Linked DNA regions of Rattus norvegicus. The protein of the gene in region 1 interacts with the protein of each later gene in a pairwise test. Links are inferred from orthologs where the notes say so. Each region holds a gene or a part of one and is shown on either strand. Other genes may lie near its edges. The genes, in order: Kctd9, Gem and Syt6.

What was found.
Region 2: the proteins of Kctd9 (region 1) and Gem interact in binary tests that used the Homo sapiens proteins (3 or more experiments, as listed by UniProt). The two-hybrid records come from large-scale screens. The link is inferred for Rattus norvegicus from reciprocal best matches to the Homo sapiens genes KCTD9 and GEM.
Region 3: the proteins of Kctd9 (region 1) and Syt6 interact in binary tests that used the Homo sapiens proteins (3 or more experiments, as listed by UniProt). The two-hybrid records come from large-scale screens. The link is inferred for Rattus norvegicus from reciprocal best matches to the Homo sapiens genes KCTD9 and SYT6.

The regions. Positions count from the first base shown.
Region 1 is NC_086033.1:46,115,667-46,120,442, forward strand, and holds the start of Kctd9 (BTB/POZ domain-containing protein KCTD9), read left to right. Parts: upstream 1-2,220; 5' UTR 2,221-2,295; coding exon 2,296-2,343; intron 2,344-2,608; exon of another isoform or gene 2,609-4,776. Other genes in the region: Cdca2 (cell division cycle-associated protein 2), read right to left, coding at 648-821, 910-973. UniProt on the Homo sapiens protein: Substrate-specific adapter of a BCR (BTB-CUL3-RBX1) E3 ubiquitin-protein ligase complex, which mediates the ubiquitination of target proteins, leading to their degradation by the proteasome.
Region 2 is NC_086023.1:30,017,804-30,022,479, forward strand, and holds part of Gem (GTP-binding protein GEM), read left to right. Parts: intron 1-1,024; coding exon 1,025-1,101; intron 1,102-1,859; coding exon 1,860-2,064; intron 2,065-3,414; coding exon 3,415-3,692; 3' UTR 3,693-4,676. UniProt on the Homo sapiens protein: Could be a regulatory protein, possibly participating in receptor-mediated signal transduction at the plasma membrane. Has guanine nucleotide-binding activity but undetectable intrinsic GTPase activity.
Region 3 is NC_086020.1:193,779,648-193,784,423, forward strand, and holds the start of Syt6 (synaptotagmin-6), read left to right. Parts: upstream 1-1,828; 5' UTR 1,829-1,975; coding exon 1,976-2,138; intron 2,139-2,503; exon of another isoform or gene 2,504-3,011; intron 3,012-3,115; exon of another isoform or gene 3,116-4,776.

The DNA.
Region 1 (4,776 bases):
GACTGGTGAGACACACTGCTCATATTTTTTCAAAATTCTTTTTACTCTGGGATAAGCTACTTCACCTTCAGCATGCCATCCTGAATTTTGCTCACACAGCTATGTACACAAAAATGGATCTAGTCTTTAATGTGATAATTCGGAGCAATGCAGAATGAGTGTCACTTTGGCTTTGCCTAGTTCATGCCTTACACAGTATCACGGTGTGATTGGCTCCCCCAGTGTCTCATTATCCTTCTTTATAATCACTGTTCTAGAACCCAAAGGACTCTCTTCCTATATTTCCTTTGACATTGGGAATTTCATTCCTGAGGTTGAAGAAAACCAATATCTGGGTCTTTCTGTTTGGGATTTTTGAACGAGGCACAAAGCCTTGTCCCTTTTAACTTTCTTAACTGCCTTTCAACTTCCTCTGATTTTGAAATACACTGGTGGGCACAAAGCACAACTGATTCAGAAACTGTGTCATATTGGAAGCCCTAGGACTTTTTGATCCCTGCTATATTTGCTGAAAAGTCTCCCCAAACAAGCAAGTCTGCATGGTCAGTATAAATACACACAGAAAGAGTCAGACAGTATAACATGTATAATTCAGGACTACTAGAGTTATTGTTAAACTTGAAAAACTATACAAGAGCTTCTCTTACCTGAAGGGGTCTTAACAAAGCTTTCAGGTGTAATTCCCAACTGCTCTACGGTTACTGTGGAGAAGTCCAAAGGTGACTTAAAGGTATCAGGGGTGCAAAGATTAGGAGTCATGTCTGCTGCATGCTTCTGAGGGGTCACAAGCGGCCCGGTACCCAAGATAAAAAAGTCATTTTCTGAAAACGGAAAACACGTTGGAGGGTTAAACAATACATTAAAACACTCAAACCTTCCACTTAACGAGGGCAACAGGTCACCACATACCAGAATTATGACGGACACACTCCTTGGATTCAGAGAGAGGCTTGTTGTGTGAACTCGTATCCATCTGGAAGATGAGGAAGTTAAAGAATAAAATGTAAAAAATCTCACTACAAGCCAAAAAGAATGCGACGGAACTCTAACGCAATTAATACCACGGGAATACAAGCTGGAACGTTCTGATTAAAGAAACGGCGGGAGGTAGTATTGACTAAACAAAGCGGACCGAAATGATTTGTCCCGGCTTTGCATCCCTGAACCCCGGACGCATAGCAAGCCTACCTCTCCCGCCCGGGCCCCGCGCGTTCCCTCAGACGACTACGACAAGCGTCGCGGAGGCTCCGTTTCAGAGAGCACCAGAGGCCCGGGAAGAACCGGGAGGGCTTCCTGCAGGTCGCTGCACACCTGGACACACCACGTCCGGAGGAGGCGATCAAGCTCCGCTTGCCCGCCAGCAAATTCAAACCGCGGCCACGCCCCCGCGGAGGGATCTTGCGGAACGGTGGCCCACGTGTGTGTGCATCCCGCTCCCTCCAGACCTTACTCTCGTGCTCTCGGACGGAGCAGGGAGACTCTGTGTGTTCCGGAAGAATCACAGACAGCCATGAAATGACCCTGGAGAGACGAAGCTGAGGCAAAAAGGTGTACTGGGGACTACCGGTGAGTTCCGCGGAGCAATACTTCAGTTGCGAACAAATCCCGCCTCTAACCTTGGATTGGCTGCTGGAAACTTCGAAAATGAATCACCTGACCAATCGTGACAGAACCGCCGGATAGTTTACTCTATTAGCCAATCCAGATACCAACCGTTACCTCGGTGGGTGGGTGTAGTAGGAGGAGCTAAAGCCCAGCGAGGAGTTGACTGGTATATGGGACTTTGGCGTCCCGCCTCTTCCTTCTCTTTATGCAAATAAGCACTCCTACACTCCGACGTGCGCCTGCTCAGTAACGCTTAGAGCGGCCCTTTGCCAGTAGCTTCTGTTCTGATTCGCAGATACTCCTTTCCGTCAACCAGCTTTCAGCCTCTCTTTCCTTTCACCGCCGTCTAGTATTACTCTGAGCCCACCCTCCAACCGAACGCTGATTGGCTTAATGCTGGCCAGTGCGGTCCGTTGATTGGCGCAGGTCAGTGTCAATCTGGGCGCGCGGTTGGGGGAAGGGCCGCTAGCAGGCTGAGGAGCCTAGGGGCGGGGTGGGAAGGAGGATCGGCCAACCCTGGGGTGTGGGACAGAGGGTGCGTGCGTGAGGAGTGTGGGGCCGACCAGGAAGGTGGCGAAGGGCGGAGAGTCCGGGTGGGAGGCGGGAGGGGTCTCGCGGGCGCGGAGCGCGGCGGGTGGCGGGCCGGGAGAGAGGGTGGCGGCTCCCTCAGGACCCGGCGCGGGCGGAGCGATGCGGCGGGTCACGCTGTTCTTGAACGGCAGCCCGAGGAACGGCAAGGTAAGCGGCAGCGGGGGCGCGACCCGGGGACCCCCGCAGCCTCCGACAGCCCCGGGCAGCTCGGCCACCGGAGCTCCGAGGCGCCGCTGTCACCTGAGCAGCTGGCCGAGGTCCCCTCCCATCTTCCCGCTGCGCCCTCCAGTCCTTATCCGTGCTGAGTAATGCTCAGCCTGGGGAGGAGGCAGTGATCACAGAGGCGAGTGACCCTGGCCAGGTCGGGAGAAGGAAACTCCAGGGGACAGTCGAGTGACATCCTCAGAATGAGGACCTGGTCTGGACCGCTTTCCTCATCTCTCAGGGTGCCCCGGGCCCCTTGCCCCACCACTGTGCAAACTTTTATACACGTTTTATTGTGTCGCCTTGTTTTGGTTCCTTAAAGGATGATGACAGCAGACTTTCGGAATGACTTGATTTGACAGTAGCCTTAGCTGCATTTAGGCCTCCGTGGAGGGCGTGGTGCTAAATATTTTTCCGATGTTGCAGCTGCCTCTTGCCCCACCCTTGAAAGTTATTCTTTGGAAAATATTGGCTGTTTCTGGCGGACTAGTAATGTGTGGTTAAATGATTGCCCCACACATTAACTAAGCCTGTTTAAAGTCTCAAAAATAATGAACCTTTTTAAAGTTTCAGTTCAAGGTACATCGGCCAGAGTACTCTGATTCCCCTACGTATACACAGCAGAACTATTCAAAGGCATTAAAGTTGGGGGTTGGGGGGGGCGGAGTTTTTCAACCATTCTGCAGTTTTGAATAAACAGATTCTGGAAATCTGATCCACAGTGGGGTTTGTGCTCTGATTTTAGTTTCCTAAAAGATTTGATATTCACACAAAAATAGTGTTCACATTAGCTCAACAGTGCTTCAGAAATACATGCTGAAAAGCTGTCAGTTCTGATCGTTAACTCTTCCTTAACCAACTCTGGAGTTGGCTAGTAGTCTGTGTCGTTTTTTATTGAAAGATTTAGTGTTGCCAGTTGTATTGATATGCACTTTCACCAGTGTCAACTCTGTTGTGTGACTCCATGAAGTCAAAGCGATTAGGGTTCCTATAAGTCTTCAGCTCTTCTCTAAATCTCTTCTGAATTCACAGAATGCTATTGTCCAAAAATTAAGGGAGTTGCTCTTGGTGTATTTTTAAATTTTTTTAAAACTTCTAAAAAGTTAAAACTTTGACTATGAGTTTCCAGGTTAGTATTATTTACTTGAAAAATGTTGAGACTCAGAAGATTGGAGAAAGTGCATCTCAAATGATTATGGGTACTTATGGTTTACAATGATCCTAAGATTGAAATAAAAAATATTAACATTTAATATTTAAATGCTAATATCCTAAGCTATAGAATATGTTCCAAAGCTATTTCCTGTCCTTTCAGCTGATGGGAAAATATTAAAATGACTCTTATTTGAAAAGATCACAATACATACATACCACCTGCATTTATGTATGTGGCTATTTAGTGAAATCATAGTCACTGTATTTAGTCAGGATTGTTGTAAACTTGATGTGGATGCACATTAAAATGTTCCCAAAGGAAGTGCTACTCTGAAATAGTTTGCTTTCCTGTTTGTAAGGTAGAATATATCATTTAGATTGTCTCCTTGCTTACCTGGTGTCTATTTTTAATCCCCTAGTCATGAGAATTTTGTTTGACTGCATCTCCTTCTTACAGCTTGCTTTGTGGCTATTAGGCCATGCATGGGCTGTGATGTAGAAAGGCACAGTTTCTTCACCAGGCATCAAGATATCAACATGCATTTTTGATTTGTGTAACTGAATAGTGCTTTTTTTTTTCTTTTTTCTTTTTTTCAGAGCTGGGGACCGAACCCAAGGTCTTGCGCAAGACCACTGAGCTAAATCCCCAACCCCTGAATAGTGCTTTTAATGTTGATGAAACAGCCAATTTTTTTCTAAGTGAAAAGAAGTACATGGAAGATATAAGATGATCCTTGGGGGTTTAGGAAGGGGTGCATGTTATTTATATTTTTATTTGAAAACAAAATAATTTAAAAAAAACCTTGCTTTTTCTAATCTGGAAAAGCATGGGAGCCTCTACTTCCTGAACCTGTCAAGCTGGTCTTGTTTTCTTCCAGAACACAGGTCTTCATATGTAAATAGACTGGTAGCCAACAGTTCATTTACCAGTTGGTTCTCTTTGACATAGGATGTATAGAAGCCTATAAGTACATTACAGAGATTTACATCACACAGTATTAATGGGATTAGCCATCAGCTAAGTGCCAAGTGACTTTAAAACCTAAAAGAATCTGCAGATTGAAACCAGTATTAATTAGCAAGCACAGTAAACATTGGGAAAGTAGCAAAACTGGCTGCTTTTCCTAGCATCAGCTGTAAAGTTAAAAAACTAAAAGGCTCTCAGAAGCCAAAGAGTGCCATGTTTTAAGAAACTCTTTGCTTAATAACTGCTATAGTCAA
Region 2 (4,676 bases), on another chromosome or scaffold:
TTCTAGGCTGGCCAGGGCTACTAGCAAGAATCCATTTCAACACAACAAAGGAAATGGGGCGGAGAGTTAAAGAAAATAATGGTCCAGTTAGGGACCACCTCAAAATATTTTTTCTTGTGCTTCTGCAAAGAGGAGAAACATCACTGAGCTCAGAGTTTATGAAGTTTCCAGTGTGTGTTCAGGCCTGCCCCACCCCCAACTGGAACACAGTGGAGCTCCCATAAAGATTATGGAAATAGGGCTTATAGTTAAAACATCCCATAATGCAGCTTATGGTTAATGCTTTCTCATAGCTTCAGCCGTTGAACTGGAGTCAAAAGGTCTTAGGGAGTTTATTTATCCTTATAAATGGCTTTCCTCCATAAAAGGCCCAAGAATGATGAAAATGATTCCCTTTTAACTCGAGCTATTGAGCCTTCCACAAGAGCTGTGGGAAGTCTGCTTAGTGACTGGAGGACTGCGTGCTGCATATTGAAGGGGAACAATTGTGTGTGTGTGTGTGTGTGTGTGTGTGTGTGTGTGTGTGTGTGTGTGTGTATACACAGAGAGACTAGAGGTCACTGAACCATGTTCCCAGCTCTTTGAAGTTGATTCTGTCTCTATCTAACCCCACCTCTGTAGGTGTGTATGTATACGCTCATGTGGGGGCACATATGTGTGGATATGTGTGCATGTGCATTTGGGTTCTAGATGTCAGTCTTGGGTATTGTTCTTCCATAGACATGAGTCTTGTTTTGGGAGACAGAGACTGTCGGCTAGGCTGGGCTGTCATTGAACCTTAGGGATCTATCTGCCTGTTTCTCCCTCCCCAAAACAAGGATTTCCAGTTGCCTTCCACAATGCGTGGCTTTTCACATGGATTCTTGAGGACTGAACTCAGGTTCTTGTGCTTGTACTAAGCACTCACTGACCGAGCTGCATCCCTAGTCTCCTGGAGTATAAATTCTAGAGTAAAGTCAACAGGAACCTCTCATGCCGAATTATCTCTTATCCACCGGACTGATATCAAATCTCTCTTTTCTAGAAGATACATATGAGCGTACCCTGGTCGTTGATGGAGAGAGTGCAACCATTATCCTACTGGACATGTGGGAAAATAAGGTATGCAGAGCCTGTAGCTGTCTGTGCATTCCTTTAGGGCTTGCCTTTCAACAGGCTGCTTGGTGCCAGAGTGACCTTGTCCTACATAGTAGATGTTCCAGACAAGGAGGGCTCATTTCCTTGATTGAAAGCATTTACTTCTGAAGAACGAGACTGTGCTGGGGAACAGGTCGTTCACAGATGAACCCTGAAGAACAAACAAATTGCAGTGGTTTTTTCCCCCGAGTTCTATTAAAAACCACAAGAGGCATATTTGTTTTAGGGAAAGTTCAAACAAGCATGGCCACTTATTTTCAATGACACAGAACCACCTTGTGAAAAGTTGGCTTTCTCAATCCTGGATTCCAACATGGCTTTTGACAGGTTTTGGGTCTCCCAGCAAATATGAAAGATCATTGTTTATTGAGAACCTTCCTATTCCCACAAAAATATTCTTAATTAGGAGGACTCCAGGGAGTCAGAAAAGGCTGGTTCTTGGCGACTTAGATTGGGATTGGGAATACTGTTTGTCAAAGTACTTTTGTATTATATCAGCCCAAGCTGTAGTAGTAACTGGAAAGTAAGCTGTTTGCTATAAAAACAGTACAGACTGCCTTTCTTTGCATCTCTAGGCATCCTGGAAGGCCAATGCCTTTTGGGGTGTTGGAAGCAGTTTTCTTGTTTTCTCTTACTTGGGATAGACATACGATTTCTTTGCAATATGGCACCTCAACTTTTAGGCTAGCCCGAGTTCATGGAAGGTCTTTTTATTTGATTAGGGGGAGAATGAATGGCTCCACGACCACTGCATGCAGGTCGGGGACGCCTACCTGATCGTCTACTCCATCACAGACCGGGCGAGCTTTGAGAAGGCGTCTGAGCTGAGGATCCAGCTCCGCAGGGCCCGGCAGACAGAAGACATTCCTATAATTTTGGTTGGCAACAAAAGCGACTTAGTGCGGTGTCGAGAAGTGTCTGTGTCAGGTGAGAGGGTGTGTGATATGGGGTCCACCCCTGCACAGCACACATCGGCCCACTAGCAGGTTCTCTTCCTCATCCCCTGCAAGGCTGCAACCAGGGCCTCAGTGGGGTGCTCCGTGAAGCTTAATGTGTATTGGCTAAGACTCTCATGGTTCTCATTGTTTGTATCAGTCATGTGTTGTTCTCTGTATCCTCTGGGTATCCTGAAGGTCCAGGGTACCCAATCCCCCTTAGGTGTACTCCCGGAATTACTTTAGAGAGGAGAGCATCCTCAGGAATTTCCTGACAGTTTTAGCCTTTGCTCATCCTCCTGTTCTCCAAGCAGATCCCAAGTTCAGGGGAGGAAAAGCCATATCTGAATGCAAGGAGAGGAACTCTGGATTAGGAGACTCAGAAGAGAGAGTTTCCAGAGAAACAGCTGTTGGCATTCCATTTAATACTCTCTAACGCCGCCCACTACTTTGTAAACTTCTGTGAGGACATCGGACTGACGGGACCACACATGCTTCTTGGTCCTTAGTTCAAGTATAATTTCTATTTGATGAGTAGGCCTCCATATTCTTTTTTTTGGGGGGGGGGCTTCGAGATTGTATTGGGTCAGTGTAGATTTAGTACAACTGTAAAAAAAGTAAAATATGGCATTTTCAGTCTCTACTCAGTCAAGGCACTGTTCCCAACTGGTGGGAATGTCTTACTAGGACGCAACAGTGTTCAGGGTTCACATCTTTTCAAACTAAAACACGGACATGTGGACATTAAACACCATGGAGTATCTGAAATTGAGAGTGTTAGAAAAGCTTGGACAGTTCGATGTAGCTGTATTATATTTTTACACAATCATTTTCCCTAAAAATATATCATTTAATCACATTTTTCAAAAGATAGGAAAGCTACATAGTAGAGTTAGAATCACAGTTTTTAGGGACGGAAACTGAATCAGGAGAAAGTGTATAGGAAGCAGGGCTGAGTTTCCTGTCCTTGTTGGCTGTATGAGTTCTTTCATTTTTTTTTTAAACACACACTCAGTTTCTTCCTCTATCTGGTAAGAATGAGGGTATGATTTTCAAGACTGTTATGAGCAGTGAAAAGTGTTTGGAAAGAGCTTAGCCTGGGTTTTGATGGAACTGGACTTTCACATCGTGAGTTTGTGGTGAGCCGGTTCTAGCCGGCTTCCTGGAATCCTCTTATGGGCTATTTCTATTCAGACCCAGGAGGGTGCATGCTGTTGTGCGTCCTTCTACCTGTAATGTAGCCTACTGCCCCATGCTACCCCTAGGACAGTTTTCGAGCGGTGGTCTCCAGCGTGGCCATACCCTATGACCCTTGACTCACTTCTCTCCCTTTCCTTTCTAGAAGGGAGAGCTTGTGCCGTGGTGTTCGACTGCAAATTCATCGAGACCTCTGCAGCCGTGCAGCACAACGTGAAGGAACTGTTTGAGGGCATTGTGCGGCAGGTCCGTCTGCGTCGGGACAGCAAGGAAAAGAACGAGAGGAGGCTGGCCTACCAGAAGAGGCGGGAGAGTATCCCCAGGAAAGCCAGACGCTTCTGGGGCAAAATTGTAGCCAAAAACAACAAGAACATGGCTTTCAAGCTCAAGTCAAAATCCTGCCATGACCTGTCTGTGCTCTAGGCACCCAGTGTCGTCCAGATGTCCCCTTGATGGACGTCGTTGAAGGCTTTTGGGACCAGTGATCTATATTAGATTGGATACAGAAGCATTGTTAAGACGCGGCTTCCCCTACTACAGATGGGAACCAAGAGGTTAGCCTCATGGGCAACCAAGTGCATGGGTGGCGAAAGATCTCTGTCGAGAGTCAGTATTTATTTGTAGGAAAAGCTTGACCTGCTATGCTAGATGGATGCCCCAGACTCACTTAAGGGCACGTTTGGGGTTCACACGAGTTTTTCTCTCCTTTGGGCAGCAGAATATTGAATCTTGTGAAGAATGCCTAGGACAGAAGTGTTTCATCATTGAAGTTTTGCTCAGTGTTCTGTGTGAATCTGAGGTCCTTGGGTCATAAAGAAATGTAGGAAAATGGTGTTTATTGGAAGGAGAAGGGCTCTCTGCAAACTTATACTCCTGGAACTGCAGCTGCGGAACTGGCCTCCTTGCAGTTTTTACTGCTCTATCGAACTGTGGAGAGAATTGTTAGAATTTGCTAGAAACTGAGGCTTACTGACAGTTTTTGTTTAAAGACCACAGAGATTCCTAGACTTAGACGCTGATATGCGTGTACCACTTATAGGTTCAAAAAATTGTTTACTTATGTGTCTTAGAAGTGTTTATTTTGAGGAAACTATTTTTTTTTTGCCAGATCCTACTTAGTCAAATCATCTTTTATGTCTTTTTTTTGAAATCATGAAGCTGTCATAAAATATTTTTTTAAAAAAATCTCAACTATATTGATAACTTGGAGTGCAAAATTTTAAATATAGTCAGAAGCCTGCTTTTCCCCCCCAAACATAAAGATGCCCCATCCTTTGGGTTGCTCCTTGTACGCCACAGCCGAATTATATTTATTATTATTTTGCAAATAACCATTTTAACCTTTGATAAAGCCTATTTATGAGCATATTTCTTACTGAGAAAAATGTCTGTTTTGTTACCTTTTTT
Region 3 (4,776 bases), on another chromosome or scaffold:
TGTAAGCAAAATATTGATTTCCCTGCATCGCAGGTCTGGGCCCTTGGAAAGGTGGTCCCGTGTTTTTTCATTCTCTGCAAGGGCAAAACAAGGCGCTTTGTTCTGTGAATGTCCCCAGGAACTCGAGAGGGGGAGGGAGAAACCGCTGCGGAGTGAGAGTTGCCATAAACACCAGCAGAGAGCAGCTCCTCATTTGTGTTTTACATAAACACAAAACCCCCGCTTGGGAAGCTGCTAATGAGAGTGTTGCCTGGGGCCTCGGAACTCCGATCTCTCCTCCGGCTGAGATCTACATTGGCGCTAGAGGGGAGGATTTCGGGCTTCTGGGTTCCTCAGGTGGGTGGAAGGCAAGTGGAGAGGCAGAAGTTTACCTGTTGTTGGAATAGCAACCCAGCACCACTGGCTGGAAGGTGGTCCAGATTATACAGGGTCGTGGATCAAGCCTTCTTCAATCCTTCCCGCTCGAGATCCCACACTTCCCTATGGCAGGCTCTAGGGACCCGGGTGGAAGCTGTGAACCGGCTTTAATAGCCCGTCCCCATTATCCCCTAACACAGTGCGCACGAGCTGATTGTACCAACCGAACCTTCAGCACCGCGGACAGGGACACGCGCTGGTCAGGAGCCCGAAAGCCTCCGAGCCCAGGCCAGAGGTCCCTCAGGTTGAGTGAGACCTTTCCCTTACTACCCTGGACACTGGCTGTCTCGGGCTTGCAACAATAAGGGCCAGTGGATTAGGCTGGTACAGATGGTGCGAATGGTGATCGCCTGGAGCTGCCGCTCCGAATCTCCTCTCTTCGGAACTTGAGTCACTTCTGAGGGTACCTCGGATTAGCGTGCATTGGGAGGAAAGACCCTTCTCCCAGACCACTTTCACTTGCACACTCCAGCTCGGTAGCTGCAGATGTAGGGACTCAGGCTGAAGTTTCTTTCCCAGATCCTACTTCGGGAAGGCGACACAATGATGGTAGGTGGAGGGTGGGAGTTTCCTCTGATAGGACAGGGCTCATTCTCCTGGCAGTTAGCAATGGCTCCTAGATTTCCAGGCCTGGTTGAAGCATCGCGAAACTAACAGTCACCCTGCTTCTGAGTCTCACTTCACAGTTATTGAGGGAAGCTCCTTTTACAGTCTAGCCTCCTATTTAGTTTTCCTTCTTTTTGACTCTTGTTATATATGCCTCATAGAAAAATAAATTATTCTGGGTTTGGTCTGATGCATGGAGGTGGGTTTGGTGGGAACCGAACCCCTTTCTGAAATGCTCCCCACTCCTATTCGCCAGAAACTTTCTCCTCCAGTTGCCATGGAGAGAGACGGCCGCTGCCTCCAGTCACCATAGCAACGTGAGGGTGCCTCGGACCGCAAGATTGTGGGGCTCTGAAAGTCTTCTTTACAGTTCCCCTTGCTCCGCGGTCTTGGGGTCTTATATCTCCGAAGCCGAGATCCGGAAAGTCTGGCTAACTTCTCCAGTCAACTATCTTTACAAGGTCCTCCCGCCGTACAGTCGGGCCGCCCCTTTTCATGTTGTTATTGTGATGCCCACTTGGGTGGCATGTGGCAGTTTCCCCAAGGTTTTCACAAGCACTACCTATGTATTCCGAGGAAGCTCACAGAGCACCAGTAATCATTACACCTCCTTTACGAAAAGGAAAACTGAGCCCCAGAAAGGCCCAAGGTCACACCCTCAGTGATGGCACCACTGGCATTGATACTGCAAGGTGTGGGACAGCGGGGTTGGAACCTGCCTGGACTTAGGCAAGTCCCTGAGTGTGGAGGGGGCGGCCGTGAGGCGCCAGACTTGCCAGCTGCCGCGGGATGCCACGTGAGGGGCGGGGACCCTGCGGGGAAGTGATTAAAAGCAGAGCCGAGCCTCAGGGGGCCGCCGCGGGGAGGGTCTTTTGGGGGCCTCCTTGCCCCGCCCCAGTCCGGCCGCGGCTAGAGTTCGAGTCACTGCTCCGCAGCCCTGAGGATCCGGGGCATGAGCGGAGTTTGGGGGGCCGGAGGGCCTCGGTGCCAGGCGGCGCTCGCGGTCCTGGCCTCTCTGTGCCGGGCCCGGCCGCCCCCTCTCGGGCTGGACGTGGAGACTTGTCAGAGCTTCGAGCTGCAGCCCCCGGAGCAGAGTCCAAGCGCGGCCGACTCAGGTACCGGGAGACCCAGGGCCCCCTCCACTCCTGGGTTTTCATCTGGGTGGCCTCCCCTGACCAAGACACCTGCCCAAGCGCCCCAGAACCTCAGAAGTCTAGCTCAGAGTTCCAGTCTGGGCCAGTCCCCTGGCTTACCGCCCGCAGGGAGAGATCCCAAGAGGACCCTTCTCCTCCCGGGTCACTAATTACGAGAGCCCCGAGATGCGGCATCCTTGGGGCCTCAGTTTCCCTTGTGTCTCTAGGCTCATCCCAGGAGCGATTGGCCAGGGTCGGGGAGAAATGGAGACGTCCTGGGCACGGAGGAAAGCCTGTGTTCCCGGGGTGGGGGTGGGGGCGGCCCAGGGTCTAGGGACCATCAGTGACTGGGTGACGGCTGGTCGAACCACTGGGCATGGGAAAAACTTGCGTCTGCAGCTGGCACGCGGTCTTTGTGTCCAGGTCTCTCAGCAGCGAGTGGCTGTCTGCGTCTCGCCGGGGGGCGGGGGGCGGGGTGGGAAGAGTGTCGTGGCGTACCCCCCACCCCCAGGCACCCCTATAACTCGCTTCCTCGGTCTCTCTCTGACTCACTCGGACTCCGGGCCGGTGTTCAACTGAGCCGGTGCCTCTCACCGACTTTGCCAGGCGGGAACCTCCTGCCCCGGCCGCACGGACCCTGCGCCGGCCGCAGCCCCGGCGGCCGCCAAGTCTAGGCGGCAGCCCGAGCCGAGTCGAGCTCACCGGAGCCGGTGAGTCCTGAGCCCGAGCCCCTCGGGGAACGGGTCCTGCGTGCAGCCGCGACGTCTCGCGGGAGTCGCGACAACAGGGGTGGCGTGTCGCGCCCTGGCGGCGGGAGCCGCGGGAGTGTCCGCGGCGTGGCAGCCGACCGGCCGGGTATGTACCTGCTGCACCAGTCTTTGCCGCCAAGCTCTCCTGCTGCAGCGGGATCCTTTGTCCCGCAATTAGGAGGGTACGGGACAGAGCAAGTATGGGTCGTGTCCCCTCGGAAGGAAGGGCCCAGGGTCAGCCCGCGGCCCGGAGCGAATGCGGCGTTGGGGGTGGGGAGATCCTGCAGAGACCCAGGCGTTGGAGTTCTCTGGGGTTCCGCAGACTCACCACACCTTGTCCTCGACCGAGACCCCGACCGGGACCCTAGTGGCTCTTGGCCTAGGCTTAAATGGGAGTCGCTTCGTGGTTCCATATGGCTGGGGAGGGAGAGAGAGGTGGGGGCCGTTAAGGTCAGATACGTGGTCTTCCCGCACCTCTCCAGGGACAAGTTGCCAGAGACCAGAGAAGTGGTACCCGGTAGCAGGTGCAGGTCGGGTGAGCTCCCAGTGGCCTCGGATTCCAGAGCGCCTTTTCCATTGGAGGTTAAAGGTCAACGATAGAGGGAGATTCTGGGTTAGGAATAGAGGCTGTGAGGGAGGAGATAGAGAGGATAGGGGAGGCTGTACCTAGCCTTCTGTGAGTGGGGCCCACCTCTCTTCTGTAGGAGTCATTAGGGATGCTGCTCTCTCTCTGGCAGTCTCTGACACTGTTTAATCAATGAATTGACGACTGCAGTAGAAGAGACCAAGATTAGACATAAAGAACTTTTGAGAGTGGGACAGTGATAAAAGTTGGCTCTGCCTCTTCGGGAATCTCAGAGCAGATTAGACTGACATTAGACGCGGGTCCTCTGGTGTATCTCTTTCTACACCATGATGCTTCCAAGACAGCAATTCCCTCAAGTCAAACAGTCACTCCCTACCTCCCCCATTCCTGAGCTCCGTCTTTTCCTCAAATGCTCCATCTGCAGTAGAGTCTTCCCCCTGGGCCTGACAGCTCAGAATACGGAGGCCAGCACACATCTTTGGAGTTCTGCCCTACTATCTGTCCAAGGCAAGAAATGTGGTTTAGGGTGGGGTGTGTGTGCTGTGAGTACATGTAGGCAGGAGATGCTGGCAGTCTGACTCCAGAAGGATTCCTTTAACCTGAGCAGCACGGCTGAGGAGAGTGAGGCAGGCTACCAGATGCCTTCAGAGTGTGATTGAGTCGTATACCCACCCTGGCTCAGGGGAGCCTTCACATGGTTACTGCATCCGTCACAACCCCCAAGAAATCCTAGGGCCAAGGTAGAACGAGAGACGCAGGTAGACAGAGAACTGGATCACACCACAAGAAAATGGCTCTGGAACTTTGGGGATTTAGGTGAGCTCTATATCTAGAGGAATGTGGTGTTCACATCAGGGTGCCAGACCTCCCACCTCCCAGCCTGCTCCTTGCACCCCAAAGACTCCATCTAGGATCCGATCCTCCAAGCAAAGCAACGTTAGATCTTTTCTTCTGCACTTGTATGAGAAAGGTAATGCACGCGGGGAGAGTATGATCAGCTCCTTTCCCATCTCGTCTCCTCTCCTTGCCTTCTGCGGCTCTTATGCCTCTAGCTCCTGGGATTCCCAGTGATACCCCAAACTCCAACAGTCAAGACTCAGATTCCACTACCGTTTGTGTGAACCTGCCCACAGGTCAGGTCTGGGCAAGGAACTGCATCAGAAATCTCCATGAATTGGACTCTGACTCGGAAACATCTGTGCTAAAACCTCCCAACTAAAAGCACACCCCCTTCTCTGAAAACCCCAAGGATAAAACGCCTGCTTTCTTCCTGATGTACTACTCC